7 separate regions of the Mus musculus genome follow, and all the other regions are reported to be linked to region 1. Evidence: microRNA targets listed by miRTarBase, many of them from high-throughput screens and not tested one by one. Region 1 holds a microRNA gene; each other region holds the end of a gene's coding sequence.

Region 1 (4,079 bases):
GACGATACTGGACTGGAGTTACAGATGCCTTTGAGACAACTTGTGGATCCTGGGCATGGAACCTGAGTCCTCTGGAAGAGCAGCCAACCCTCTTAACCACTGAGCCTTCTTTCTGGTGAGCCCCCTCTCTTTAAAGACAGTATTTCATGTAGTTCAGGCTGGTCTTGAACTTCTGGCTCTTTTCTCCACTTCCCAAATGTTGGAATTTCTGGATGTTTTATTTTGTATCTGTGTGGAGCGATGCAGTGTGGTGGCTGTATCCCCAGTACTGCAAAAACCTAGGAGGATTACCATAAGCACAAGGCTAGCCTGGTCTACTCTGTGAGTTCTCAACTAGCCAGCCGTGATATACGATGTCTCAAAAAACCAGCATTCTTTTTTTTCCCAAAGAAGACAAAACAATGTAGGGACTGAGATATTATGGGTCAGTGTTAATAGCATTGGTTGCTCTACCAGAGCATATGGGTTTCATTTCCAGCATGCATGTGTTTGCTTACAATCCTCTATAGTTTCAGTTGCAGAGGATAGAAAGCCTTTTGACCTCCCTGAACACTAGGCATGTACATGGTGGTACAGACAGGCAAACAAAGCACCCATACACAAAAAATTACATTTAAAATTAAGTGGACAAAATGAGTTCTTGAAGATCGAAAACCAGCTCTGTCTGCTTTAAAAATATTTTCTTTCAGCCTTTGAGCTGGGGGGTAAAGATTCCCTGTCTCATATGGATATAACTAGGGGTAAAGCTCAGACGCCAGCTGCAAAACTCTGTTTTTCCCTTCGCTGACAGAACTGAGTAGAACACCTCAGGTTCTGGGTGCTAGGTGCTGTGTATCTTTGGACATATTAGCTCAGAAAGGTCACTTAATGAACTCTTACCCATAAAGTGGTTCACATTCTCAATGACATCAATGACATCAGAGCATTTCTTCACTTACAAAAAGTGCCAGGGCCTCCTCAGCCCAGCCAGAGGTTTCCTGATGACGATGCTCTGAAGTTGGACAGAAAGAGGGAAGGCCACGGTTTTTAAGTAAATGTCCCATCCTGGAGGAGCAATGAACAAATTTCTCGCGAAATACGAAGCATCCCCTAGGGGTTCATTCAACCGCTGGCTTGGCCAAAGGACACTTTGCCGGGATCTCAGAGCCCTCGCTAATTTGGTGAGCTGTGTAGTAAGCATGGACGCGCCCTCATGAGTATCACTATAATAACTACAGAGAAATGAGCTGGGAAAAGGCGGACAGAGCTCCTTTTCAAGAGTTATGAATGAGGAGAAAGTGTTTGTAGAACTCATTGTTAAAACGGTGGAGCCAAAACTCGGGCGCCTGGCCAATCGGAGCCTGGAGGCTATTTTGAAATCTTTCCAGCAGCAGCCAATAGGTGCGCAGGAGGCAAAGCTTGGTGTAGGCGCAAGCCAATGAGGCTGGCGCTGTGCCTTGAGGCCCGGGGCTCGGCCCTCGGGACTGTCAGATGGTTAAAGATGGAGCCGAGGGAGAGAGGGCGCCACGAGGTGCTGAGGTGCGGGGTTGTCCAGATATGACGGGGCCGCCGCCTACCTGGATCTTCCACTAAGCTTCACCTTGTCCCCCTGGTGAGAACAAGAGGTGTCTGTCCACGTGAGTAACTGGTCTGGGATAGGGTGTGCGGTGAGGCCAGGGAAACTCCAGATGCCAGGAAGCCCTAGTTCTGCTCTTCTAGGCAGGAGAATCTGTTAGGATAGAGTGCAGAACTCATACTGGGGGAATGGACCAAGGACCGGATCTCGGACTCCAAGGGCCTCACGTGCAAGGAGTGAAGTATCCCTCTTATTCTAGTTCTGGTCTGAAACAGGGTACAAGTAGTCCCACTGTGCTCCCCTCTGCAACTGAGCGCAGGCCTCTCTCCTTTGTGTTTGAGCCCCCTCGGGTGCTCGCCCTTCAGCTCCCTCCTTGGAGTACCTCACCAGAATCAGAAGCCTGTTAGAGAAAGTTTGAGTTCCCTGAAGTTAATAAGTCCAGAGGACTGCATCCGGGCTGGAATCCCGTCTGTTCTCCGAGCTTGGATAGATGTCCCACCCACCCATGGTGGTTGAATTTCCAGCGCAGCCCTGCGTGCAGCGAGGGCGATGGATTTCCTGCTGGCTGCGGGTGCTCTGACTAGGTTGCACTACTGTGCTGTGAGAAGCAGTGCAATGGTATTGTCAAAGCATCTGGGACCAGCCTCGAAGACCACCTCACCTACTGTTCCTTCTTTCTTCCCTTTCCAGGCCTGGCCCCTCAGGCCTGCAGGCCGTACCCTCCCCCTGCTCATTTTACTCTCTTCTCCATGGAAACTTGAGATTGTAGCCAGGCCCGTGTCTCTGGGGTCAGAGGGCATCCTTTGCTCAGGCCGAGGCTCCGCCCAGGTGGGCATGCGTTCTAGGTCTAAGATCCCACTCCAGCCACCCCAACTCCCCATGCCCCGCCCCACCCCGTGAGACTGACAGGCTTGTTGGACACTCTTTCCCTGTTGCACTACTGTGGGCCTCTGGGAAGCAGTGCAATGATGAAAGGGCATCTGTCGGGCCAGCTAAGGAGCCTGAGGAACAAAAGGGTCAGTGCTTGGATCATAGTCTTAGATAGAGATAGCTATCTCTAGCTAAAAGGATAAGGTGGATGCTGAGAACCATATTCCAAGGCTGGAACCAGTACAAAGGGGAGACCCCAGATTTGGAAAGGCTCCAGTCTCAAGCTCTTAGCCCCCTCCCCCCAGGTTAAGATAGGGGAGTCTGCTGCAGGGGGCGCGGCGGTGAGTGAATGGTAGGTAGCTCATGCCTTAAATCTCAGCACTTGGAAGGCAAAGGCAGGTGGATCACCCAGATCTAGGGCATCCTGGTCTACATAGTGAGTTTTAGGACAGCCAGGGATACACAGAGAAACCGTGTTTTGAGAAAAACCAAATTAACTAATTAATTAATTAATCAATTAAAAAAGAAAGAAAGATTGGTGAGCCCATGTCTGGAGGCTGATGCAGGAAGATTGTCTCAGTTTTGAAGCTGTCTGAAGAATCAAAACAAAACTAGGAACTCCAGGACCTTGTGGAGAGAAACAGATGTTCACCTCTTTGTATGGAAAAGGTTTGTATACCTTGCTTAGCCTTGACTGCCTCGGGAAGAACTGGACTCAGCCTTTCCTGAGATAACCACACCTTGGGTTCACACCTTGAGGCTCAGAAGAAGTGTCCTGCCTGGGCCAGATGGATGGACTTGGAACAAGAAGCCTGCAGAGTAGGCCTGCCAGCCATGTCTGCTTGCTCCTTTACAAAGAGGGTATGTGCTGAGTAGGAGAGGCATGGAGGTGTCTGGTATGTCTGCTTTCCAGACAGGGCTGGAGCTCATTTTTATTTATTTATTTATTTATTTATTTATTTAATTTATATGAGTGCACTGTAGCTGTCTTCAGACACACCAGAAGAGGCCATCGGATCCCATTACAGATGGTTGTGAGCCACCATGTGGTTGCTGGGATTTGAACTCAGGACCCCTGGAAGAACAGTGCTCTTAACCACTGAGCCATCTCTCCAGCCCTGGAGCTGAATTTTTAAGGATGCCCGATCCTTAGTGTGCTTGCAGAGTTACCTTTAGCGGCAAGACCCAATGGCCCATGCCTTTGAATGCAGCACAGGGAAGGCATGGGTAGGTAGATCTCTGTGAGTTCAAGGACAACCTGGTCTACCCTGCACGTTCCAGAAGAGCTATATTTACATGGTAAAGCCCTGTTTCAATGCACCCACCCCTCTTTTACAAACAAACAAAAACCTAGTAGGAGGTGGTCAGGCCTGCCTCCTTGAGAGGAGGCCCAGGCTTCCAGATTCCCTTTTGGGAATAGATTGAGAAAATCAGCCTTAATAGTACTCTAGCTCCACAAGTCCTGGCACCCATGGGGACTGCTCTGATACATAATGAGTCTCAGGCCTGACGGAGGGCTTTGATGGGGAAGAAGCAACCACACTCCTTTGTGGCTAGGGTAGACGTGTGTCAGCAGCTGTTGCCACAGCAGATCCATCCTGAGGTGCTAGGAATCCTAACATGTGCATATCTTACATATCTTACATGTGCATAT
Region 2 (4,079 bases), not on the chromosome of region 1:
GTGGGTCTTACCTCTGGAGTCAACAGAGAGAAATGGCAAAGGTGGGCGGCTCGCCATTACTACTACTTCCTCTTGCTGAGCCTGGTCCGGGATCTGTATGAGATCTTGCTGCAGATGGGACAAGTTGCACGTGACAGAGCAAAGAGAGAGAAATCCTCTCGGGACCCTCCTAAGTACAGCGTGGCTAATGAAGAGACTGAATGGCTCCAGTCCTTCCTCCTCCTCCTATTCCAGTCTCTAAAGCGACATCCTCCCTTGCTCCTGGACACCGTGAAGAACTTCTGTGACATCCTGATCCCTCTGAACCAGCTTGGGATCTACAAGTCCAATCTCGGCGTGGTAGGACTTGGAGGTCTCATATCCTCTTTGGCTGGTCTCCTCACGGTAGTGTATCCTCAGCTGAAACTGAAGGCCCGCTAGGGTGTTTGGAGGCTTTAAGGCTAGCAGTTCAGTGGAACAAACATTTGGTTTTGTCCCAATGTTTACTGTGCTTAATTTAAAAAAAAAAAAAAAATCATGTGAGCACCTTACCATCCTATGAGCAGAGGTAGGACCAGCAGTGGCGCATGCTACAGTAACTTCATTTCTGTTCAGGTAACATTACTGAGCATCTTTTATGTACATAGTAAGAGCCTAGTGTTGCTGGACAAATAAAGATGAAAAGGAGAGAAACCATGAAAGACCCAAAGAAACTAGAATTACAGATCAGGTTGCACAGGTCCCTGATTCCACACAAGCACACCAGGGCTGAAGCACAGCACTCCCAGCTCTGCTTAAGTTTTCCCTTTTCTCCCATCTGTTATTATCCCCCACTCCCACGGGTGTCAGGAGTGAGATGGAGGGGAGCTGGGCTCAGCGCCTGTTAACCTGCTGGTCCCGGTCATTGCTGCAGTCGTGTCCTGACCATGTCCAGTAGCCTCAGAAGAACATCAGTGCCTCTGGGGCGGAGGCTGTGTCCACAGGTAGAAGGCTCTCGGTAATGCTAGGAGCAAGCAAGAGCCACAGAAGGGACCAGAGGTGAAAGCAGGTGGGAGGTCACCGCGGCCTGTTATGTCATCCGTCACAGATAAGGACTATGACAGTACAAAACAAAGCTGATAGCACAGATTCATTGGGAGACTTTCCAGGATGATCCGCGTGATCTCGTTACCTTCAGCGGTCTTCCCGGGCTCAGAGCCCTTAGCCCCTTAACATGCCCCCGAGTCCTGGAGCTTCAGTTGATGGTTTCTGTCCCAGTCTATGAAATGCAAAGCAATCTAGACTCACCCAGGTTGGTTTGATTTAGCTACATAACAGTTTATGCAATTCCACAGTAATTTTTATCAAAATAAGAGAATTAAATTTTTTCTGTCTATAGATGTAGGAACGTCAGTTTTCTGTGACAAATCTGGTTTTCTCAGGACAACTGAGAGGGACAGGAAAGAGCAATAGGGCCAGTGGAGGGGTCGTGGGGACACCGGGTCAGTGCATTTGCCCGTGTTCACACTTCACGGTTCAGTCTTCCTGTCTTGAGTTTGGTTGGTTTAGGTGTGTGGTGTGGGAGACACTGGCCAGCAGGCGGGTCATGTCTACTAAGTGGAAATGAGAACTATGCACTAAGCAATTGTTTCCCATAAATGTGAAGGTGATTCTTGAAAAGTGGACTCAGGCCCTTGGCATTCTCTACTTTTAAAATGATAATGTGCTTTGAGAAGACTTTGGGGGCGGGGGTTGAGATTAAAGTGGCTAAAACAAGACAAATACCAGCAAATGCCTATTTGCACTGTAACTTTAATTATGTCTAATAAATTTCTAGATAAAATTGACTCCTGCGTCTGTGAGTGTGTCTGCACTGGAGTCCGTGGGAACTCAGGAATGACAAGGTGCAGGCTGGGAGGAAGGCACAGGGACTATGTTGAGGCTCTGGGTTGAGAGGTTCCCTTACAGATCTGTCCAAATCATCCCTGCTAAGATGCTCTACAGTAGCCTGGCAGGGGCTGGCCAGCTTCCTGGAGAAGCCTGCCTTCAGTGCATGGCAGTGTTGCGTGGCTGTCGCTTCTGATGCTTTGGGTCTTGCACATTAGAGACAGTGTTGGGAGGGTGGAGAACTGCCATCTTCTAGAATCTGGAATCTCAGTGGGCCCTGCTACCTCATCCTCTTATCTTTCTCCTCAGCTAACCCTCTCTACCTGGGTCCACATTTGTGAGGGATTTCAAACACTGGGAAGCCCTGGGGAGCTGTGTAGCTGGGCTTGTGGCTACTTTGTGGGTTCTTTTCTCTTCCACCCTTTTCCACCCCTCTTCCCTTTCAACCCCAACACTAGGTAGGAGAGAAAGAAATTCCCGAGTCAAGCCCAGGATAGGAAAAGGGACGACCATGTTATTAGACTACTGCCTGCTGATTCGGGGCACTGAGTTCCTCGGGGCAAGTTTGATCTTCACCATCAGGATATCTAATGTCCTCTTTTTGTCTCTTTGCACGCGACTACTTGACAAACCGCAACCAACCGCAACCAACCTCAACCAACAGCATCCAAGAATGAAGCAAATCATAGTCCCCGGCTGTTAAGCAGCCTCATATCCTCCAAACCTGGGATTGAAACGAAAACATATTCCCACACTATTTCTGTGTTCTTTAAAGAAACCAACATTGTCAGCTACAGGGCAGCACAGGGCAGCACACCAACAGTTGTGCATCACTGCTGAGCACTGACACAGCACACGTCTCAGTGCCCTGCTTGGCTTGGGGACCCACCTGTCCACAGAGTGGTCAAGACCTCTGCTCTCCTGGAGAGGAGTAGCATGAGATAGCTCCTCTGCCCATCCCCCTGTGGTGTTGGCGAACCGCCTCTCACCCTCGCCCTTAGGATCTGCCTGGCGCTTTCCCTTGTCACCTTTCACCCACATCCTAGAATCCGTACAGAAGCAGCCAAAGGACCGGCTTTGTCAGCAGAGCTTTCAGGCACAGAGCCCTATATCCTCTCTGGCCCAAAGCCACTGCCTGGGAAGGCAGGCTGCCCTTTAGCCTGGGCTGTGTCCAGATGCAAGTCTCCCAGATTACTCGTCCTGAACCTTGAAGCAAAGGCAGAGGCCACTTTACACGCTCCCCTCCTTCCCCACTGCTGTCTTACAGCCCAAAGGCTCAGACCAAGATTAATAAGTATCAAATGCATGACATATTCATTACCTCTTCTGGAAGCTCCTTGTTCCACACCCCTCCCTTTCCTGGCATCTTGTTCCCTGTTTTATTATACTGAAGATAAAATTTACTACCAAGGATCTATCGGTAGCCTTTCTCACATCCTTATTGTTTATTGCATTTATGCATTTATTTGGGGTGTGTGTGCGTGTGTGTGCGTGTGTGTGTGTGTGTGTGTGTGTGTGTGTGTGTGTGTGTGTATGTGTGTATTCGTGTGCACTTGGACACACCCGCACTTATACACATGCTCAAATGTCACAGCATGCATATGGAGGTCAAAGGACATCTTGCCAGTGTCAATTCTCTCCTTCAATTCTTTGGGACCCAGGGATTGAACTTTGCAGCCAGGCTTGGTGGCAATCACCTTGACCTGCTGAGCCATTTTGGTGACCCTACTCAGTGCCTCTCCATCCTGTTACCCATACTAACAACTTAGTAGACTCAACAACATCAACTCTGGTGAATAGGGACTAACCGTGCTGCCGTCCTCTCGTTCACTGTGATTACGAGGCCCTTTCTAGTTGGTCTAAAGACACAGCTTGGCACCACAGTGCTCCATCAACATTAATCAGAAACTAAAGTTTGAGTTTGGGCTTGAGTTCCTGTTGAGGAAGGAATAGCAACGGATAATTCTTGGCTGTCTGGGTGCTGTTGGTTGGCAAAACCAACCAACCAGCCAACCAGCCAACCAGCAACCAACCAACCAACCAACAACCAACCAACCAAACCAGCTGTCAACACCTTTACTTGTCCAGACATAAGTGAACAAAACCAAATAGTTCTCCTCCTTCTTGTTCTGGTGGCATCTCAGGCTAAGTAAAGTTCCCTCCCTCCCTCCCTCCCTCCCTCCCTCCCTCCCTCCCTCCCTCCCTCTCTCCCTCCCTCCCTCCCTCCCTCCCTC
Region 3 (4,079 bases), not on the chromosome of region 1:
CACAAGTTCTTAGGATCCCTGTGCCCAGTCCTGATAGACACTGAGTCTGTGTCCCCCTGAAGGAGCAGAAGGTGACAAGCGTGAGTGTTGGGGCTGGCTTGGGCTTGCAGGCAGTGCCCTTATGATAGCTTGAATGAGAACACCACCCCGCTTTCTGCTCATATATTTGAACATTTGGTTCCCAGTTGGTGGACTGTTTAGGAGGATGAATTTGTGTGGCCTTGTTGGTGAAGATTTATCATTGGGGATGGGCTCTGAGGTGTCATAAGCCATGCCAGGTCCAGTCTCCCTCGCTCTCTGCCTGCAACTGAGCTCTCAGCTTCTGCTCCAGTCCCATGCCTGCCTGCCTGCCTGCCTGCCTGCCTGCCTGCCTGCCTGCCTGCCTGCCTGCCTGCCTGCCTGCCTGCCTGCCGCCACGCTTCCTACCATAATGATTGGGGATTACCACTCTGAAGCTTTAAGCAAGCTCCCAAGCGTCTCTTGGTCATGGTGTCTCTTCACAGCCATAGACCAGCAACTAAACCAACACCCTCAGTTCAGTGCCCCCCCCCCAGGGCCTGAATCCCAACCTCTCAGGCTCACGCCTACCCCACCTGCATTGGTCCCGTTATTGAGACACACAGCCTCTCCATGTTCATCTTTATTTAAAGACTCAGAAACACAGGCATCAGAGATGGCCACTACTGTCAATTCATCTAAAATCACACACTGACATTGGTGTATAATAAAAACATATGTGGGGTTGGGAGCACACGTGTGCACGTGTCTTTCTGTCTGTCTGTCTCGGTGTGTGTTGTGCAAAGTACAAGGGCTTCCACATCTACTGGGCTGATTTTGGGGTGCTCCGCCTTGTATTTACGCCTCACTATGGACCATCTTGTCTCTCGAGATCCATCAGTCCTCTGGAGGCTAGACTGTCCTGTCTCCTTGCTGACCGTCTATCTGAAGGGCTGAGAACTAAGGAGTGAAACCCACGTGGCCACCAAATACAAGTGTATGAGTAAGGGGCACATGCTGCTGGCCAGGACGGAATGTGAAGGTTCTAGATGAGGTGCTGGCTTCATTTTGGTGCCACAGACGTGTGTCCTCAAGGGAAGATGACCTTAGGAAAGGTACCTCTTTTCTGTCATTGGCTGTGGAAAACATGATTTTTGAAGGCTCAAGGGCTTGGGAGTGTTCAGAATACTCAGACCATGGGGTTCATTGTGTGTCTCAAAAGCCCCACCTGAGAATGAGCCCCAGGGCCCTGCTTCCCTCCCCATGCTGGTCGCAGTGTAAACTTTGCTAGGAGAGGATTCAGCTGATGTTTTCCACGGTACCTTGATGCTTTCCTCTGCTTTCTGTGAGGCTGCTACTTCCTCTATCACGAGGCAGCCAGTGCAAGAAAGGAAGACAGTTCCAAGTGAAGTCTGTTCTGTTGACTCAGAGTTGACCTTGTTTAGAAGGGAAAGGGACTTGCTTCATTGTCTGGGATCTGGAGTTAGCTCTGGTTCCACTGAAAACATGCCTCACCCAGGATGTAGATCTGTGTTACCTCCATGGTGGCAGCACGGAACCATACCTAGATCTTTTGTGCATGGATGGGCAAGTCATTTAGCAGTGACACTGAGTAGATATCATGTGGTTGTCACCGAGCCTGCATACAGGGGTCCCTATGTCTGAGATAGAGCGTCTCTTTGGCTCACAACAGTTTTCTATGTCCAATAAGGGTGCTATCACCTGGGGGAGGGTGAGACCGTCTGGGTGTGATTACATCCATGTGGTAGCCACCCGGCAGTCACAACTAGTTAGTCATATCCCCAGACAGAAACGTTGAGCATAAGTGCTCTTTATTTTATTATGAAAATCAGTGATAGCCTCTGCTACCAAAGACTTGATACAGGGCTGCATGATTTTATAAAAATGTACCCAGAGGCTCACAAATTGCTATTTTTTTTGAGAAATTTTTGAAAAAAAAAAAGTGTTCTTAGAGTGTGACACTCACACCTCCTGATAGCCATCAGGCTAGCCTCCTGGGCAGCAAGCTGTTGTGACAGTGAATATACGTAAGGCCTCAGAGTCAGAGACCAGCCCTCATTCCTTTCCAGCGTCTGCAGGCCCTGTAAGTCTATAGACAAGCATCAGGCTTGTGTTATCACTGTACCTTTGGTCTCTAGCAGATGAGTTTTGCCTGGCCTCAGAGGGCAAGCTATTTATTTTTGAAAAGGAAAAAAAAATCCTTTGCAAGAGAGTGGATCTGAGCTGTTGTAAAAGCTGCATTTTGGTAGAAAGACGTGCTTTCAGAATGCTATTTTTAGTCATTCTCTTTAAAGCAATCAAAGGAAGCTTCTGGGGTCAGTGTGTGTCTGTGTGTGTGTCTGTGTGTCTGTGTGTGTGTATGTGTGAGTGTGTGTGTGTTGTCTATGTATGTGTGTGTGTCTGTGTGTGTGTGTGTGTCTGTGTGAGTGTGTGTGTTGTCTGTGTATATGTGTGTGTGTCTGTCTGTCTGTGTGTGTATATATGTGTATGTGTCTGTCTGTCTGTCTATGTGCATTTTCTGCCACACACAAAGGCAGAACCCACTCCTTCATTTGTTTCCAGTTTTTTAGTCATAGCAATCACTCTCATCTAGATGGAGCTTGTGGGTTAGCTATTTCCAGCCGTTTGGGAAGACGCTCCGACTCCATGCACCCTCTCCACAGACCCTCCCTCTCGCTGCATGGAGCACCAGCCAGCATTGTGATATTACAGATAGGAATTCCTCAATATGCTCCAAACTTCATCTGGGAAATATAGAAAACTTTCCTTTGATGTTACTTCTTTTTTTCCCCCCTTGACACTTACCCAGGTTGGTTTTACAAAAAATCAGCACCAGATGTATGAAAAATATGCAGCGTCTGACCTATTAGAAATATATAAAGTCTAAGAGTTGTACATTAAAAAGGTGTGCCGTAAGAAGGAAGCAGTGTGAAGACAGCGGCGGAGGAACTGGACGGTGCACCTCATTATCCCAGTAGGAGACAAAGACAAGAGGGTTCTGCTCCAGTGCCCCACAGGACCCCACTGGACACCTTGGGAGGCTCACAGCCCTTCTATGAGGCTCCTGAACCATGAATGCCCTGGCGGTGAGGCCTGGTGGTAGGTGACAGAGGTATATAGAGGAATGGTACCCAGGGCAGGCAGGGAAGATGCTCTTCTTGCTGTCAGCCCTAGCACATGGCCCAACTCTATACCCTCCCGGGCTCCCAACCTTACACAATAACGCTTTAGCCGCTGGGTGACAGAGCAGCGCCTTTGTCCATGTGGGTAACATTTTCTGTGCTACTGCTCACTCAGACTCATGGCGTGGTCTTGCAGGACACTCACATGTGCTTCCAGTAGGATGTCACATGAGGATATGGCCTATCTTCACAAACACGCCATGGCCCATGTGTGCTTCCAATAAGGACTTCACGTGAATCATCGGCTTGTTTCTGGCCGGTGCTTTAGAAAGAACCTCGCTCGGACTTTGGTGATAAGGCGGGCATCCTCTGCTCTCTCCAGGACAACAGAAGCTAGCCATGAGCAGTGGTCCTCAGAAGCTCTCCACAAAGCTGCCTGGGAAGAGACCTGTGCGGCCATTCCGCTGCAGTGTCCCCTTGAACCAGCCGTCTTCATGCTTCTTGTGCACGAAGACGATATCACCTTCCTTTAGCTCGATCTCCGCTTCACTCTGTGGAGGGTAGGAGACCACCACACGGTACCTGGGAGGGCAGAAGAAACTGTGTGAGCAGAGGGGTGGGCTTTCCCTCTAATCCCCCGTAGCCCACAGTGAGCTCCCTATCCCCTCCGCCCCTCCAGTAAGTTCTTACAGTGTGCCATTACATTTTATGGTCTGTAAAATTATTTGTAAAATTTCCCAAAGCTCTTTACCTTGTCATCTAACCTCCCTTTGAACAGTTGTTGGTCATGGAGGTATTCAGGGGCCTAGAATAATATAGGCCACTGCCACTGTCACTGTCTGGCATCAGAGCCAGGCCATGGAACTGTAGCTCTAAAGACATCACAGGCTCCAATTGTGGAACATAGGGAAACCAAACTGAAGTAGGTAAGGAAGTTTC
Region 4 (4,079 bases), not on the chromosome of region 1:
CTGAAAGTCCTGGCAGAAGAGCAGCCCATTGAAGTTACAAGTTTTCCTTAAAAGGGATTTCTTTTCCTCTGAGCTGATAAGTGTTGAGCACAGGGCTCTTGGCTTTTACTAAGGTGTTTTCATTGGAGGTAATTAGCGACAACAGCCCTTCCTGGGCTTGCAGCCTTTCTCCTAGCAGGACAGTGAGTATTAGCTGTTAGGTATCAGAGTGTGTCGGTGCGGCTCCTCTGCTCACCCTTGCTAGGAAGAGGTCATTTTTACCATGCCCCAAACTGTGAGTGGAATCTGAGGATCATGCTTGGTACTTTAGCTCAGGACACTAATGGCTACCTTGCAAAGATGAGCTATCTTTAAACCCCAATGGCAAGGCCCAAATGGCTCCATTTTTACCCTAAACTGTCATAAGATTCATCTGAAATGTTATTTTAAAAGCTAGCACGTGTGTGTGAGACAGACAGACTGGTGCATGTGTTCTTTTTCGTGGGTGATTTGCAGAGTTTCATTATCTGTCCTAGATAGCATTCCCCAATATGTGAGGGTGGGCAGTTTCTATTTTTGAACACTTAATTGAAGTGTAAATAACTGGAAGTGAACTGCAAGTCTGATGGGTTTCAATGCTTGCACACAGCCCCCAGCTGCCCTGCTTTTTAGGAAGCTGTGCTGCAGATCTGGAAGTATGAAGCTGCTCTAAGTGCATACAACTTGGTGGAAACCTAAGACTACTACAGCTTCCCCTGAAAGAACTCCACAGAACCCCTTAATGACTACTCCCCTTTCCTCCTGCCCATGTAGGCTACAAGACTGGCCCCTGATGGCTGTTGCTCTGCCATTTCTTCTTCCTTCCTCTCCTCCTCCTCTTTTTTTTTTTTTTTTTTTTTTTTGGCTTTTTGAGACAGGGTTTCTCTGTATATCCCTGGCTGTCCTGGAACTCACTTTGTAGACCAGGCTGGCCTCGAACTCAGAAATCCGCCTGCCTCTGCCTCCTGAGTGCTGGAACTAAAGGCGAGCGCCACCACTGCCCGGCTTGCTCTGCCTGGAAACAATCCACAGAAGAGCCCAGCTGGTGAGGCGGGACTAGGATGTGATTCGTCTGCAGCCAGAATGAATGGTAACGTGCACAATGACATCTTGGCATCATACAGACTACTAAGTCTTAATGGCCAATGATCTTGGCATGGCCACCACTCCCTTGAGGGCTACTGCCCAGTGGTGACAGTCACACACACATGTGCCTCCTCTTTCCTGTGCTGTGGCATCTTCTCGGGGCTGTCAGAAGACCCATGCTCTGGAAACAGTTCCTACCTGAGCCTTTCCAAAGCCTGGGCAAGAGGTGACTTCAGCAGTTGGAGGACCATGAGAGAGTTTAGGGGACGGTAGAGGTTACAATGGGTTAAACATATAAAGTAAACCAAAGAAGTGAAATAAATCTGAGCAGGTACCACAGGTGTGACACACGACACTCAACCAGGGCCAGCGCATATGACTGGTTTAATTACATCATCTGCCACTACACACTGAGTAGAATACAGTGGATAAGCTTAGAGTTCTCCACCATGGAGAGACTTGTGTTGCCACAAACTGTTTCTATCCCCACCTGTGTGGGAGGACTTGGAGTTTCCTGTTGCCATGGGCTGACAGGACAGGATATGCATGAGGCCCTGCCTCAGCATACGCTCTGAGCAAAAGTTGCATGCAGGTTAGAACACACGTGGGAAAGCCCTAGACAGTACAGAGAGAAGCCTGTAACCGGTGCAGTAAGGCTAGATTTAAAACAAATAGGCACATGTACTTCATCATGGGTGTTCAGATGGGCACTGCATATGGGTGCAGTCACTTTCTCAAAGAGTCTTCATGGTGTCACTCAGCCATTGCTGCTTAAGTAAAACCAAGCAATAAAGCTGCTACAAAAATTCCAGAGATGATTCATTCCCTTGTATGCCAAAGTGTTGCCTAATGACCACTCTCCCCACAGAGCGGCCCAGTCTGCTGCTGCTGCTCCACCTGGCTTGACAGTGCCAGCTCTGTGTGCGTACTGTGTAAGTCATTACAGTTGCCCAGTCAGAGGCAAAGATATAAATGCCAGAGGAGCCTGGATTAGTGGGAGCTGTGTGCAACGTTAGATGAGACTCATTTAGGCTTAGCTGTGATGTTATCACAGTTCTGATATATTAGAGCAAATCATTCGACCCTCGATCTGTGGCTCAAACCAGCAGAACTAGAGCTGCACATGCCTCTACCTCATGGAACTCAGCACACTTCCTCTTCCTGCACTAAATCTAAGTTGTAGTGCTTACACATGTCACAGCTTTGTTGTTCTGCATAAAATTTAGACCTGTGTTGTGCAAGAGAACCCTATGGAAAGGTACTTGCCCTGCACTGTCCTGTACCCAGCCCTGACATAACTAGTGTGACCAAGGACACACTAGTCATACGGTCATTGTACTGAGGGATTCAAGTTAGTGTATTAAGGTACTGATCCAGAATGTAATTTCTGTTCTGAGGGAATGAAGATTTCTGTAGCTAATATTAATGTGGAATTGAGCCACGTCTCCATCAACTTCACTGGACAAGGAAAGCTACCAAACTTACTTGTAATAGAAAAAATATTAGTAAAAAGTCTGCATGAAGTGCATTTTGTCCCTCGAGGAGGTGGATGTGGAACAGGCTGTGTTGGAGTTGTACACTCTGACTTAAAGGTTTCAATACCTGCAAACCGAATCACTGGCCTCCAGCATTTGCCACTAGCTGCCTTCTTTAAATGGTCCAAATAGTGCTTCTAACCTATTTCTGTGAACAGTATTTTTTAAGCTACTGAATTTAATAAAAACTATTCTTGTTCAGAGACATATACTTTCACCTGGTTCTGCTTCAGGCAGGGAGTGAATTAAAACCCAGAGCTTCTATGACTCCACTTCTGCCTGGAAGTCAGGTCTGGGGGGTAAGACCTCACCTCTGATGGTCAGACAGATCCACCCACAGGACATACCTCTACCATGCAGCTGAATCGCAGGGCTTTTAAACACGTATTTGCACTTGTCAGTGTTCCTAGCCTGTCTGCCCCCAAGAAAATATTAAAAGAAGACCAGAGACAAGAAATGGAGCAGTTCTGGAACTCTAGCACAGGTGCAACGGGACTGGCAGAGTTATTTAATGCTGAGGCACAGCAACCCTGAGACACAGCAGTGGTGACGGCCTGGTCTGCAGTCGGAAGGAATTCCTGAGCAGTCACTGTGAAACCGGTGGGCCACAGACCTGCACACACGATCCTCACGATGGAGTCGCTGACCTGGCTGCTATGAAGACAGCAGTCAGGGTGGCTCTCAGCATGTGAGTATAGAGCAAATGCAAATGTGCCTCGGTGAGAACTGAAAACATTAATATAAAAAGTCAAACAGAACTAAGTTCTGGAAACTACATATAAAAATTGAATTATTACAACTAAAGCAGCCAATCAAAATGCCTGCTGAGGTTTTCTGGTAGAACAACAACAAAAATTAGTTGGTGCTCATGTTGGGTAAGTCACTACCACTGACCAAACTAAACCCCAAACTGGAAATTGAAAAGTGCATACTGAAATTTGACTCTTGGATCAAGTATTTATGGAAAATGGAAATGTTGTCCGGTGTAGTTGATGACTCATGGTCAGGAGGTATTACAGTTTTTCTGCTCCAGCTCTGGCCTGACGCTCCACATAAAACAGAATGTAGGCCTTTGCCTTCCCAACGGTCTCCTCATCAGTCACTGTCACAGTGCTGTCATTGAAATGGAACCAGCGGCCTTCGTGAACTGCATATGCTGTGTAATGTCCAGAACCAACCCTGTAAAGAAAAGGCAAAAAGTTAAAAAAAAAAAAAAAAAAAAAAAAGACTATAGAGTAAAATAGTAAACACAAAAAGGTCTGGTGTTGCATGCCTTTAATCCTAGCACTTGGGAGACAGAGAAAGCTGGATCTCTGTGAGTTTGAGGGCAGCCTACTCTACATGGTAAGTTCTAGGGCTACATAGTGAGACTCTGTCTCAAACGATGAGAAAAGTCTACAGAAGTCACAGAAGGATCTTTACAGCTGAGCAGTGTTAAAG
Region 5 (4,079 bases), not on the chromosome of region 1:
ACCAGCCTTTAATTTGCAGCGGCTAATGACTACCCAGCTCATGGAAGGTACAGTCCTTCCTCTTTCATGGCCCCACTCCAAGGGCATCCATCCTCTTTGTTCTTCTGGGCAGCAGGAGATCTAGATACAACAAATGAAGCCTTGCCTCCTGGTGTCAAAGTATGTCACTGTCAACTCAGATAGCAGAGTGCCAAAAGCCCCAACCTTCAGCTCATTGAAACGTCATCCTATCTATACGACAAAACAGTAGTATACGAATCTTTTCATCACACACCGAAATCAGGGAAAAAATAATGCACCAATAAATGTATTATTTATTTATAAATTATATAAGTGTACAACTGTACAATATATTATGTACATTATAAAACACATAAAAATAGAAATTTAAAAGGATGAGATTAAATACAAAGAATCATTATTTTAACATTTTCTCAATGGACTTAGTATCTGCATACCCCCAGGATGTATACCCCTGCCTGAAACCACAGTTCTAAAGCATGCCCATGATTGCTATTTGGATTTTTAGCTCAGTAACAGGATAATGTACAAGGTGGCATCTGTTTTGTTTGTTAAGGTTTGTAAAATAGCCCTAGTGTCAAGTTTAAGTGCATGATGATGCTAACATCTCAAGACACACTTAGCTAACCACTGCACAGCTGGTAAAATGTCATGCTTCGGTTCACTGGTCGTTGTTTCACTTTAAGGCAGACTAAATAGGGGATTCATAGAGTCGAGAAAATGCTTCAAAAAAGAAGCATTTAACAACAAAAGATGCATGTTGCTTTATTCAAAAGGGATAAGGGGCTAGGCAAAGGCCACCTAACTTAATAGCTAGTTCCTTCAAACAGAATTCCTCTGCCTAGTGACAAGCTCAAGCAAACAAACAAACAAACAACAACAGGAAAGGAAAGGAAAGGAAAGGAAAGGAAAGGAAAGGAAAGGAAAGGAAAGGAAAGGAAAGGGGAGGTATTGGCCACTGTGCCAGTGGAGAAAGGAGAAATTCCCACCATGTGCTGACTAAAAGTCCAAGTTAAGTCCTTAACACAGAGAGTGTCCATATAGCTACAGTGCCTAATGACAGAGCCCGGACATGGAAATTCAGTAAATACATGATAAACAATCCCTCAAAAACATGTAGTGCATTTGAAATACACATTATTACTAAACAACACTCCAGTGTATGGTAGGAGGCAGCTGGAGCGGATACCTGAATACATGTAGCAGATACGTTAACACCAGGCGTGGTGGCTCTTGCTTGTAATCCTATTACTCCGGAGACGGAGGCCAGAGGAGGATTACAAGGTCCACATCCTAGGCTACACTGTGGGTCAAGGCCAGCCAAGGCTATATAGTGAGTCTCAAAAACAAAACACAAATCAAGTCACACAAAGAAAGCCTCAGTACACTGCCTCATTCCACATGGCAGGAACTGGTGTCGGACAGGCCCGAACGTCCCAGCACAGCAGGACAGTACCACTCAACAGCCTGTTCTTCTCCACCCCTAGGGCATGCTGGGAAAGGCAGAGCAAAGAACGAGATTGCTCCACACACAGAATCTTAATTCAATGTCTCGAGTCTTCTCAAAAATCCCAACAGTTTAGAGACTGCGAACATCTGCTTTTGGGTCTGAGACCTCAGTCAGGTGGCCCGATGTCAGCCTTCGCACCTGCCACACTTTCCACTAGCAGGAAGACCCCTTGTGGAAAGCTCTATTTTGACAGACATTCTGCAGATCTAGAGATTAAAACTTTTACACAATGTAAACTACTTAATTTCATAATCAATTTCACTCTGTATCTCCCTTCAACTAAATGCAAACTCAGACAAATTATTAATCCAGAGAAAAATAGGGATGTGGAGTTAAGTGACTGAGTAGAGAGACGAGCACCCTAGCTGGAGTCTTTCCCCAAAGCACTTGTTAAGAGGAAAACTGGTCCTTTAGGTTGAGATGTTGCTACACATCACAACATAGGCAAACAGAATCAAGTTGTTGGAATTTCCAATCATGGAAGACATGCTGTTTTGTAAGCATGGTGCTGTTATCAGGGTGTAAAATCCTCACCAGAGACTCTCAAGCCAGAGAAGCCAGTTGTTTGAACAGTCTGTATACCTTTCAGAGGGCAAAGAGCCACTAGAGAAGCGGTCCTTGAGCCTGGCTCCCTCAGGAAAACTAGGAAATGTGACCAGCACAGCTCTGGCTGTTCATCTCTGCTCACCTGACACAGCTGACTCCCTCCCTCCCTCCCTCCCGCCTGCGTCTAACAGCGCCAGCCAACCCTGGAGCTTCCCAGCCAGTCTCGATCTGAAGGCAAAGCCACACCCCCGGGCCTGCAGAGGAAGGAAGCAGGGTTCCAGTGAGAACAACTATTACATGTTACATCTTAAATTTAGAACAATAACAAAAAATTCATTTTTGGTAATTTTTAAATTTTATTTCCAACTACTGTAGTAACAAAATACCAGCGATAATTCTGCAGGAAGAGTAGCAACCTTTTAAATAAACAGGTGATAAGTTAGTATTGCAACAGTACTTTGGCCTATGGAGAGTTTGATAGGATTATTGCAGTCAGTCTTATAGTACTGTAGACGTGTGTGTCCTCTATGTCTAGTAATAAAAATATTCCTCTGACCTCAGTGACTCATCACACACACATTTCTACTCTGTGTTGAGCACTATCTTTTAGGTTGTACTAAATGAGAGAGAAGAGTTCTTCCTCCTGGGCTTTCCAAGAGTAGACAGAGATAGCAGTCACTTCCACAGTGAGGTACAATATTAAACTTTAGAGTTGAAAAATAAAACATTACCCTATTTATGCCCTTTCTCTAGGAGTAAAAAGACACACACGATTACAAACATAAAATGAGTCAAACTTCTATTTTATTAACAGGAGTCCAAATGAATACAAAAGTGCCTCCTTTGTATGCTGTAGTTACTGTCTTCAGAAGGCTTCGGACAGAGTCAGGTAGGTTAAACTACGAATGTAGTGCAGCTTTTCTAGTGAACCTTTTCCAAAAGGCTGAATGACATCAACCGAGCGTCAGAGAACGTGTGGTCCCGGAGTAACTTTTGGCCCTGAAGCTTATCGGATTAATTCGATCCTGCACTGACACCACCAGAGGCTTTAAGAGGCTGTAAGCCAATAAAAGCCACTTTTATAACGTCTGCTAACTCTGGGCAATTAAGAATGGAAAATTCTAAAATGTAGCCCTCTGTATTATGTGGAATGTGTGAGAATGCTAAGTTATGGCCAAGATAGATGAAAATTATGGTTTCAACTTACATATGGAACTGTTACAATCTTACCATTTGTAAAATATTGATAAATGAATAATAGAGCTTACTAACAGATTAAAAACTTGAGCAGACATTACTTAAAACATGTGTGATGCTTATCATATTTTAATGTTTACTAAAACTAAAGCTGAACAAAGAAGAGCTCCTCATTTATAGATTGTTTTCATGTGCCTTGACTTTTACTGAGAGCATAATCTATCAGGTAATGCACAGCCCACACTTCTGGACAGTTGGAACATCAAAGGATTTATTATCATTTGCAGATGAGATAAACGCACCACCCCATACCTGAAAGGCTTTAAAAACCCTTTTCAGATTGTACCCTGGCACCAGCGGCCTCTTTTTTGCATCCGTTTCTAGTAAAGTCGGCAACCCTTCCCTCCATATCAGCCCTCACTGCTGCTGCTTTATGACCTCTCACAGAGCAGCAATGTTTGCAAGGATGTGCAAACGCTGTAGTCCACTCACTCGGGTTAGTCTCCACCTTCCTCTTCCTCCTCCTCTTCCTCAAAGCTGTCTTCAAATCCTTCACTGTCTTCCTGGTCTTCGTCACCTTCTATCGCTGTGTCCCACTGTGGGTGGTTTTCTGGCACAGGCTTGGCCTCATGAACTTCCAACTATAAACAATTAAATACGTATGTCAGAAATTTGGAGAAGAATAATGAAAACACTATCTAGTGAAGGTTTTCTCTGACTGTGGCAATCACAGAGAGTGAACTTTGTAGCTGCAACTCTACATTCAGCACATTCATTACAAAGATTCTTCATTCTGCAAATAAAA
Region 6 (4,000 bases), not on the chromosome of region 1:
CTGCTTCCGATTGTTGAAGGGCTAGAACACCCTGCCCTAGGTCTCTCCCACAGGCTGTTCTGGAATGTTTAATGCTGGCCCTGCCATCTCTAATATCTTCTGCCTTGACTCCTAGGATCACCAGCCTTTTGCAAATGCCCATGATGTGCTGGCCCGCTCTCGCAGCCGAGCCAATGTTCTAAACAAGGTGGAGTACGCTCAGCAGCGCTGGAAGCTCCAGGTCCAGGAGCAGCGAAAGTCTGTCTTCGACCGACACGTTGTCCTCAGCTAACTGGGAACTGGAATCAGGTGACTAGGAAGAACACGCAGACAACTGGGAAGAATTGTCTGGGTGTCCGTGCGTTTTAATGCCATGTTTGTTTTTACAAATCCTTGCTGGATGGAGGAAGACTCCAAACTGGAAGCAAACCCCATGCTTGGTATTTTCCTGTTAATATATTAATAGAGACATTTTTACAGCACACAGTTCCAAGTCAACCAGTAAGTCTTTTCCTACTTGTGACTTTTACTAATAAAATTAAGCTGCCTGTGAGTTATCTTGAAGCCCCGTGCCTGGAACAAGCTCTCTCTTTCTTGCCACACAGTTCTAACTTGGTGTTCAAGATAACTTCCAGGTGTGTTTTTGCTTCTCTTTCTTGTGGTGGGAGAGAGAAGGAAGGATGCCTTGGGAGTGCTTGAGTAGCTTCTCAAGTGTCTTTTCCAGACAGACTTATGAATACTTCAGACCCTCTACTTCACACTTGTTAATGTCCCAGTGTAGCTGGCTTGTCAGCGTGCTGGCCTCCCCACTTGACTTTTGCACTGACTACATTACCTAAGATTCTGGTTAGCCTGTGGCTGCATTTCATGACCAGTTGGATCTGAAATGCCTGGGGGCTCCTCACAAAATGAAGATTTGTTTCATGCACTGTGATGTCTGACGCAACATGTTCTAGAACAGACTGGCCATCTGCTAGTTTACACTGATACCTAAACACAGTCTCAGTGTGTGTGGTCTTCCTCATCTTCTTCTAGTAGCTCTAAGGACTTGAACATTTAGAATAAAGACATTTTCTCTTAAGCCCAAGCCTCCCTGGATGATTGACGTACAAATACTGATCAGCCTTTTCTGTCTTGCTGAGAGGCAGTTCTTTGAACTGATGTGGGCAGCTTTGAACAAGGACTAGAGTTCAGATTGCCTCTCTCTGAGAAGTCTAACAGTTATTGGATAACTGGCTTTTTTCTTCCTACATCCTCTTTGGAATGTAACAATAAAATAATTTACAAAACCCAATCAATGTTTCTGTTCTCCAGCCTTTCTCCTTTCTCTTGTGCTGTGTGACAAGCATGTGACACAAAGACATTGGTATATTGTAGTTTGAAAACATGTTATGCAACCAAATCGTAAGACACTGACTGTGTTAAGGGTATGTAGGTGCAGAGAGAAAGACAATGTATTCCTAGGTACACAAGTAGTCAGACAATCTGAGGACCTCTAATGTCACAAACCAAGCATGGTAGTACATGCCCTTAAGCCTAGCACTCAGAGGGCTGAGACAAGAGAGTTGCTTGGGATTCAGAGTCATTCTGGGCTGTGTAATGAGACCCATACATATACATATACATATACATATACATATACATATACATATACATATACATATACATATACATATACACATACACATACACATACACATACACATACACATACACATACACATACACATACACATACATATACATATGAAAAAATTGCATATATATGACAGACTTTAGTGATTGCTCAGTGGGTAAAATCTAGTCACACAAACCTGAGTTCAAATCCCCAGGACCCTCATAAAAAAGCTGCATGCAGTAGTGTGAGTGGACCAGCTATCTCTCTTATACATCTTGTCTCAAGGTGGAGAGGTAAGGGTGACCCCACGGGCTGTCCTCTGTTCTCCACATGCATGTGGGCCTGCATACACAGGAAAGAAAGACTCTTGCAAAACTGGGAATAAGAGGAATTTCCCCAGCCAGATAAAGAATTACAAACTGAATTTAGTGGCTTTTCCTGTAAGTCCAGCATTTGGGAAACAAGCTGGAGAATTGCCAGGGGTTCAAGGCCAGCATAGTCTACAGAACGAGACCAGTATCTCAAGAAAAACTGCAACAATTAGATTTATGTAATAGTAAGTTATATTTACTGGCGAGAAGTTAGAAGCCTTCCCCTTGAGATTGAGGAGGCACAGATGTCCTCTTGTGATGCTTTAACCTCACCCTATGAGTCCTCGCCCTTGAGATGGAGGAGACAAGGATGTCCTCTTGTGCACTTTTTAACGTCAACCTTTAAGTCCTAGCTCGTGCCATAAAAGAAGAAAGATTCAGAGTACGAGGGAAAAGAGACTGCTTAAGGATGACGCTGGCTTCTAGAAAACCAAACAACAAAACCCTCTGGAACTAGTAAGCAATTCCAGCAAAGTTTGAAGATTTCAGGATGTAACAATCTGGTGCTTTCCTATGTACAAGCAGTGAACAGGCCGGGGAGAATGTAAAAGTACAACTGGGCCAGGGAGATGACTGAGCAGGTAAAGGTGCTTGCTATCGAGCCCAGTGACCTGAGAATCCCTGGGACCTACTGGATTGAAGAGTGAACCTAACCCTGCAAGCTGTCCTCTGAGTTCCACAAGTGAACACACACACACACACACACACACACACACACACACACACACACACACACGTTCATAAAGTTCTTAAAAAGAGAAAATGGCTGGGGTAGAGTGCTTGTTTAGAGTGCATGAAGCCGCAGGTCTGATCCTTAGAGTAGAAATCAGATGTGGTAGCGTGTGGTTGTGATCTCAGCACTTGGTATATCGAGAAGGACCAAAAGTTCAGGGCTATCCTCAGCTACTGGTCAAGTTTCCCCATCTCAAAAACAAAAAGAAGGGCTGGTGAGATGGCCCTGTGCTAAGAGTGCTGGCTGCACTTGGAGAGGATCTGAGTATACTTCCTAGAACCCACATGGCGGCTCAAAACACCCTGTAACTCCGGTTCCAGGGGCTCCAGTGCCCTATTCTGTCCTCCACAGGTTATATGATGCACAGAGATGTATGCAGGCAGAACACCATGCACACACACACACAATCTTTAAAAAAGCACAAAAGGGAAAAAAAGTTTTGAAATATCTTTGATTGTATGTTCTTCTTTAAAAATACTGTCTTGTGAAACAAAAGAAAAATTAACATTTAAAATAATATAATTTTAGTTTCACGTGGGACAGAAGCAAAGAGAAAAGTCATAGTTCTCTCTGTGCAACCCAGAAGGGGTGTTCTTCAGGCTTTTTTTTAAAAATTTATTTATTTAGGGGGTTTTTTGAGACAGGATTTTTCTATGTAGCCCTGGCTGTCCTGGAACTCACTCTGTAGACCAGACTGGCCCCGAACTCAGAAATCCACCTGCCTTTGTCTCCGAAGTGCTGGGGTTAAAGGCGCCACCACTGCCCAGCTCTTCAGGCCTCCTAAAGAAAGCAAGCTCCGTCTTGCTTCTGTAGTTAAACTAATCATCTTCTGCCTGGACCAGAAGAGACATTGTATTCCGTCAAGGAAACTCACGAGCTATGGGTAGTGTAGCTACAGCTGCTGCAAAGGCAGCACTCTTCCCTCTTGTGGGTGCTGGGAGCTGAACTTGGGTCTTCTGCAAGAGCAACAAGAGCTCTAATTGCTGAGCCATCTCACGAGCTCATGCTAGATAGTTTGGATGTCAACTTAGCACAATCTAGAATCCGCTGCAAAGAAGAGAATCTCAGTTGAGAAAATCCCTCTGTAAGATTCGGCTCTAAGGCATTTTCTTAATTTGTGATTGATGGGTGATCATCCTGGACTCTCTAAGAAGCAGGCTGAGCAAGCCAGTAAACAGCAATTCTCTATGGCCTTTGTATCAGCTCCTACCTCCAGGTTTGAGTCCCTGTCCTAACTTCCTTTGGTGATGAACAATGATATGGAAGTGTAAGCCAAATAAACCCTTCTTCCCCAGTGTG
Region 7 (4,079 bases), not on the chromosome of region 1:
CCCACACCATGCCTGCCTGGGTGCTGCCATGATCCCACCTTAATGATAATGATCTGAACCTCTGAACTTGTAATCCAGCCCCAATTAAATGTTGTCATTTATCAGAGTTGCCTAGTCATGGTGTCTGTTCATAGCAATAAAACCCTAATTAAGACAAACACTATCATTTGGACAAAGCAGCAGCCTACAGAAATGGGAAAAGATTTTTACCCATGCCACATCTGATAGTGAATTAATATCTAAAATATATAAAGAACTTGAATAATGAAAAAATCCAATTAAAAAGTGGGGTACAGACTTAAGCCTAATTCTCTATAAAGGAAATTCAAATGGCTGAGAAACATTTATGTTCTTTAGCCATCAGAGAAATGAAAATCAAAACTACTTTGAGGTTTCATCTTACACCTGTCAAAGTGCCTAAGGCTAATAACACAAGTGCCAGACAGCTCATTCTGGCAAAGATGTGGAATAAAGAGAACACTGCTTTATTGTTTGTAAGAGTTAAAAACCTATATAGCCTCTATGGAAGTCAGTATAGCTGATAAGAAAGTTAGAATTCACTCTACCTCACGATCTAGCTATACTACTCTTGGACATATACCTAAAGGATGCTCCATCCTACAACAAGGACACTTGCTCAACCATGTTCTTTGCTACTATATTCATAATAGACAGAAATTGGAAACAAGTAGTTATCCCTCGACAGAATAAAAAAGCAATGTGGTACATTTATACAATCAAGTATTAAACAATATGTATTAAGTATTTTCACAATCAACTATTTAAAAAAAGGTATGGAATTTGCAGACAAACAGGGAGAACTAAAAAAACAAAAAAAAACAAAAAACAAAAAACAAAAACAAAACAAAACAGAACATCCCAAGACCCAGACCCAGAAAGATATGGTATATACTCACATTACCCAGTAAGCAAATAACCAAACAGACCCAAAGAGTTTAGGTACAGAGGAAAATACTGGAACAAATTATATACCTCCCTGCAAGGGGAAAACAGTTTATGGGTAGACTGGGAGCAGAGGAAACTGGGAGAACTGGAGGATCTGGTGTGGAGGGGGAGGAAATGTGGGAGAACAGCTGGAACTGAGGGATATTTCAAGGGTGGTATGGAAACTGAGGGCAGTGATTCTAATGAAAAATCTTCAAAAATTCAGGAGACAGAGAATCCCAGCTGGCTGTCTCTTATCACAAAAGAAAACTTCGAATACCAGGACTGGGTTACATATAATTTAGTTGTTGGCCATAGGGTACCATGGAAACCCAAATACAACCCAGGCTGTTGTCAAGATAATAGTTTGTTTTCCACAAACTGATAGCAAGGCCCCATTGCTTAAGCCTACACTCATACAACTCATTGAATATGAAGAAGTCGATCTGATGCCTACATAGAACCTTCACCACTATGTTCTAGTGTCTTTGAAATGGGAAAGTACTCAGTAGGCTACTAAGAAAAACATATACACCAACCCAGCTAAAGCCTAAAGCTTTAATCTACTATGCTGTCCTGCCTACAAAATATGCCAGGGTTATGGTGGCATATAGCTTGTGGGTAATTTGGCTTAAGGCACACAAGATAGGATTCATTCCAAACACTGCTTGTGTGCCAACTATAGCCCAGAGACCTAAGGTAAAACCAAATACTACTGGTCTTTGAAATAAAAAAGCATGCTAAAATGACTCCTAGTGATATTCTATTCAGCTATCCTCATGTATCAGTGCCTTATAGAGCCATCATCAGTGAAGCTTGCTCCTGCAGCAAATGGGCACAAGTACAAAGATCACAACTAGACATTATGAAGAGAGAGAGAGAGAGAACACTCAGCCCTAAATGGAATATCTCCATCAAATCCCTACCCTCAGAGCTCAGAGGACCCTGAGGAAGAGAAGGCAGGAGTGTAAGAGCCAGAGGAGATGGATGACACCAGGAGAACAAGGGTTTCTAACCAACTTGAGTACAGATCATATAAATTCATAGAGACCAAAGCAGCACAAGGCCTGCACATGTCTGCAGCAGGTCCTTTGCGTATATATTATAGCTTTCAGTTTAGTGTTTTTATGGGAGTTCCAAGTACATGAAAAAATGGGTCTCTGAGTTTTGTGCTTTCTTTAGGGCTCTTTTCCTTCTTTTAGTTTGCCTTGTCCAACTTTAGTGTGATGTTTATATTATTAAATTTTAGTTTCATAAAAAATAGATCTTTTTAAAGTCTAAAAGAAATAAAATATACAAAGTCTAACAAAATTTATTCAAGGTTTAAATTTTTTAACTTCACAGTCATTCATGAATAACACACTGCATATACCATGATAATGCCATAAAAATCACAACGGTGCAAAATGTTCTAAACACAGCAATGTTGTAGATACTGGTACTGGAGCACTTGGTCTTGCTCACCTGTGTGATGCTGCTGATAATGAGAGTTAAGTGCTGACTCGCAGTGGTATAAGAATACAAAAAAAAAAAAAAAAAAAAAAGAAAAAAAGAATACAGAACAATGTATAGTACACTACAGTGGGTAGTGGTAATAACCATGTGTCTATTTACTTATTGTTACTATATTAAAGTGTACTCCTAAAGTTTACTGTGAAATAATCTCCCATATTTTGACAGCAACAGCCTCATCCACCTTTTACTGTCTTCACTACATCAAGAGGGCAAATCAAGAGCAGGCTTATGTACCTATATTCTGTAATGTTTGCAAAGTGACTAAATTGCCCAAAAAATGTATTTCTCAGGACATACCTGTTATTATGTAATGTCTTGAAGGTGTAGAATGTATGTGTGCATATGTGTGTGTCCGTATGAGTGAAAGAGTAAGAGAGAGTGAGAGCAAAAGACAGAGAGAGGGGGAGGGGGAGGGGGATGGAGATGATCATTTCAAAACATTTACTTCTCATCATCACCTGGGAACACTTCTCCCAATTTTTATTTGAAATAAATGATGTTTATTCAAAGTCCACAATAGGAATAAGCAAAATTTAAGAACATGTTTGGAGTGAGAATCCTTTAATTATATTCATTTTCAGAGGACAATAAATACAAAAATCATAAAGAATATAAGTAACAGTAATATTTCTCTAATACAGGCAGTATCTAATTTTATACAATTTAACAAGCAAACACTTTTATTCTCCCAGGAATTACCATAGGGAAAAGCTATACAACAGAAAAGAAGTAATCATTAAATTAAAAACTATTTGCTTTTAACCCTAAAGACTGAGGTTCTCACTCCACTGGTCCATGGGAAGTGCAGAAAGGCTGAACAGGTCAGCTCAGCTCCGAGCAGCAGCAGTCTGAGGCTGCTCTGACTGTAGTTGTTTACCAAGATATTCCCTAGAAAACAAGAACATGGTAACATGGCAAATTAGTATTTCAATATAAAGAATCACTGACAAGACTCAAATTTATTAATAAAATAACCCCTGGAAACTACACATTTCCAACTTTCAAAAGCTTGGTTCACAGAGATGATAGGTCTTCATGCAATGCCATTTGCAGGGTTGACTTCCCTCTTTACATGAAGGACTTACTCTAACATCTGCAGTCTGAGCTTAGCAACCAACTTAAGATTCCAATGGGCTTCTTTATACCATAGAAAACACATTTCTTAGTGTTAGAAAATACACACATGTATAGCCTGGGATGAACACAAGGCAATAAAAATAAATCCCTAACAATAACAGCAAAAGTCAGGACTCTATCAGGAGCTCCTCTTGTGGCCTACAAAGACCACAGTATTGCATGCCCAGCTATCACAGAGGCTAAGGAGTTTTCTCATTCTACATACGGGGGTAAATGAATTAAAGTGATAGTCTCCAAACTGTCTAGATCCTTCGGGAAATAAACTGACAGCAGGTTAGAGGTACAGTCCTACAATCACAGCACTCAGTAGGCAGAGGCAAGAAGATTGTGAGTTCAAAACCAGCTTGAATTACATAATTAAATACGAATTTTAGGTTACATGTGAGAAAAGAAATAGAACATGTACCTACAATATGCATAGCTTTAGCTTAAAATCACATATAGGAACCACTGAGACAGAGGGAATGGGTATGTTCTTTACT

The links. The annotated mature microRNA mmu-miR-301b-3p reads CAGUGCAAUGGUAUUGUCAAAGC and lies in region 1 at 2,164-2,186, shown strand. An mRNA with a match to its seed (bases 2 to 7 or 8) in the 3' UTR can be bound and repressed. Matches are read on the target gene's strand: a 7mer-m8 pairs with bases 2 to 8, a 7mer-A1 pairs with bases 2 to 7 and ends in A, and an 8mer does both.
Region 2: the mRNA of Pex11a is a reported target of mmu-miR-301b-3p. Seed matches in the 3' UTR shown: 7mer-A1 at 1,592-1,598 and 7mer-m8 at 1,758-1,764.
Region 3: the mRNA of Sh3rf3 is a reported target of mmu-miR-301b-3p. Seed matches in the 3' UTR shown: 7mer-m8 at 1,377-1,383.
Region 4: the mRNA of Usp3 is a reported target of mmu-miR-301b-3p. The part of its 3' UTR that is shown has no 7-base or 8-base seed match.
Region 5: the mRNA of Sec63 is a reported target of mmu-miR-301b-3p. Seed matches in the 3' UTR shown: 7mer-A1 at 2,986-2,992 and 7mer-A1 at 1,139-1,145.
Region 6: the mRNA of Tmem9b is a reported target of mmu-miR-301b-3p. Seed matches in the 3' UTR shown: 7mer-m8 at 797-803.
Region 7: the mRNA of Atp6v1h is a reported target of mmu-miR-301b-3p. The part of its 3' UTR that is shown has no 7-base or 8-base seed match.

Annotation. Positions count from the first base shown.
Region 1 is chr16:17,122,527-17,126,605 of GRCm38, reverse strand. It overlaps Mir301b (microRNA 301b), which reads left to right and starts at 2,110; the gene lies at 2,110-2,206. It overlaps 2610318N02Rik (RIKEN cDNA 2610318N02 gene), which reads left to right and starts at 1,404. Exons shown (of 7, transcript NM_001358255.1): 1 at 1,404-1,616. It overlaps Mir130b (microRNA 130b), which reads left to right and starts at 2,464; the gene lies at 2,464-2,545.
Region 2 is chr7:79,733,683-79,737,761 of GRCm38, reverse strand. Pex11a (peroxisomal biogenesis factor 11 alpha) reads left to right here. Exons shown (of 3, transcript NM_011068.2): 3 at 1-1,804. The coding sequence ends at 420. Among named protein-coding and RNA genes, the nearest start is that of Plin1, 2.9 kb to the right of the region's middle.
Region 3 is chr10:59,135,463-59,139,541 of GRCm38, reverse strand. It overlaps Sh3rf3 (SH3 domain containing ring finger 3), which reads right to left. Exons shown (of 10, transcript NM_172788.3): 10 at 626-3,722. The coding sequence ends at 3,554. Among named protein-coding and RNA genes, the nearest start is that of Gm23223, 58 kb to the left of the region's middle.
Region 4 is chr9:66,514,761-66,518,839 of GRCm38, forward strand. It overlaps Usp3 (ubiquitin specific peptidase 3), which reads right to left. Exons shown (of 15, transcript NM_144937.4): 15 at 1-3,818. The coding sequence ends at 3,653. Among named protein-coding and RNA genes, the nearest start is that of Fbxl22, 2.2 kb to the left of the region's middle.
Region 5 is chr10:42,828,727-42,832,805 of GRCm38, reverse strand. It overlaps Sec63 (SEC63-like (S. cerevisiae)), which reads right to left. Exons shown (of 21, transcript NM_153055.3): 21 at 292-3,915. The coding sequence ends at 3,772. Among named protein-coding and RNA genes, the nearest start is that of Scml4, 30 kb to the left of the region's middle.
Region 6 is chr7:109,733,107-109,737,106 of GRCm38, reverse strand. Tmem9b (TMEM9 domain family, member B) reads left to right here. Exons shown (of 5, transcript NM_020050.1): 5 at 116-1,271. The coding sequence ends at 271. Among named protein-coding and RNA genes, the nearest start is that of Ascl3, 3.4 kb to the right of the region's middle.
Region 7 is chr1:5,161,374-5,165,452 of GRCm38, reverse strand. Atp6v1h (ATPase, H+ transporting, lysosomal V1 subunit H) reads right to left here. Exons shown (of 14, transcript NM_133826.5): 14 at 2,904-3,348. The coding sequence ends at 3,288. Among named protein-coding and RNA genes, the nearest start is that of Atp6v1h, 80 kb to the right of the region's middle.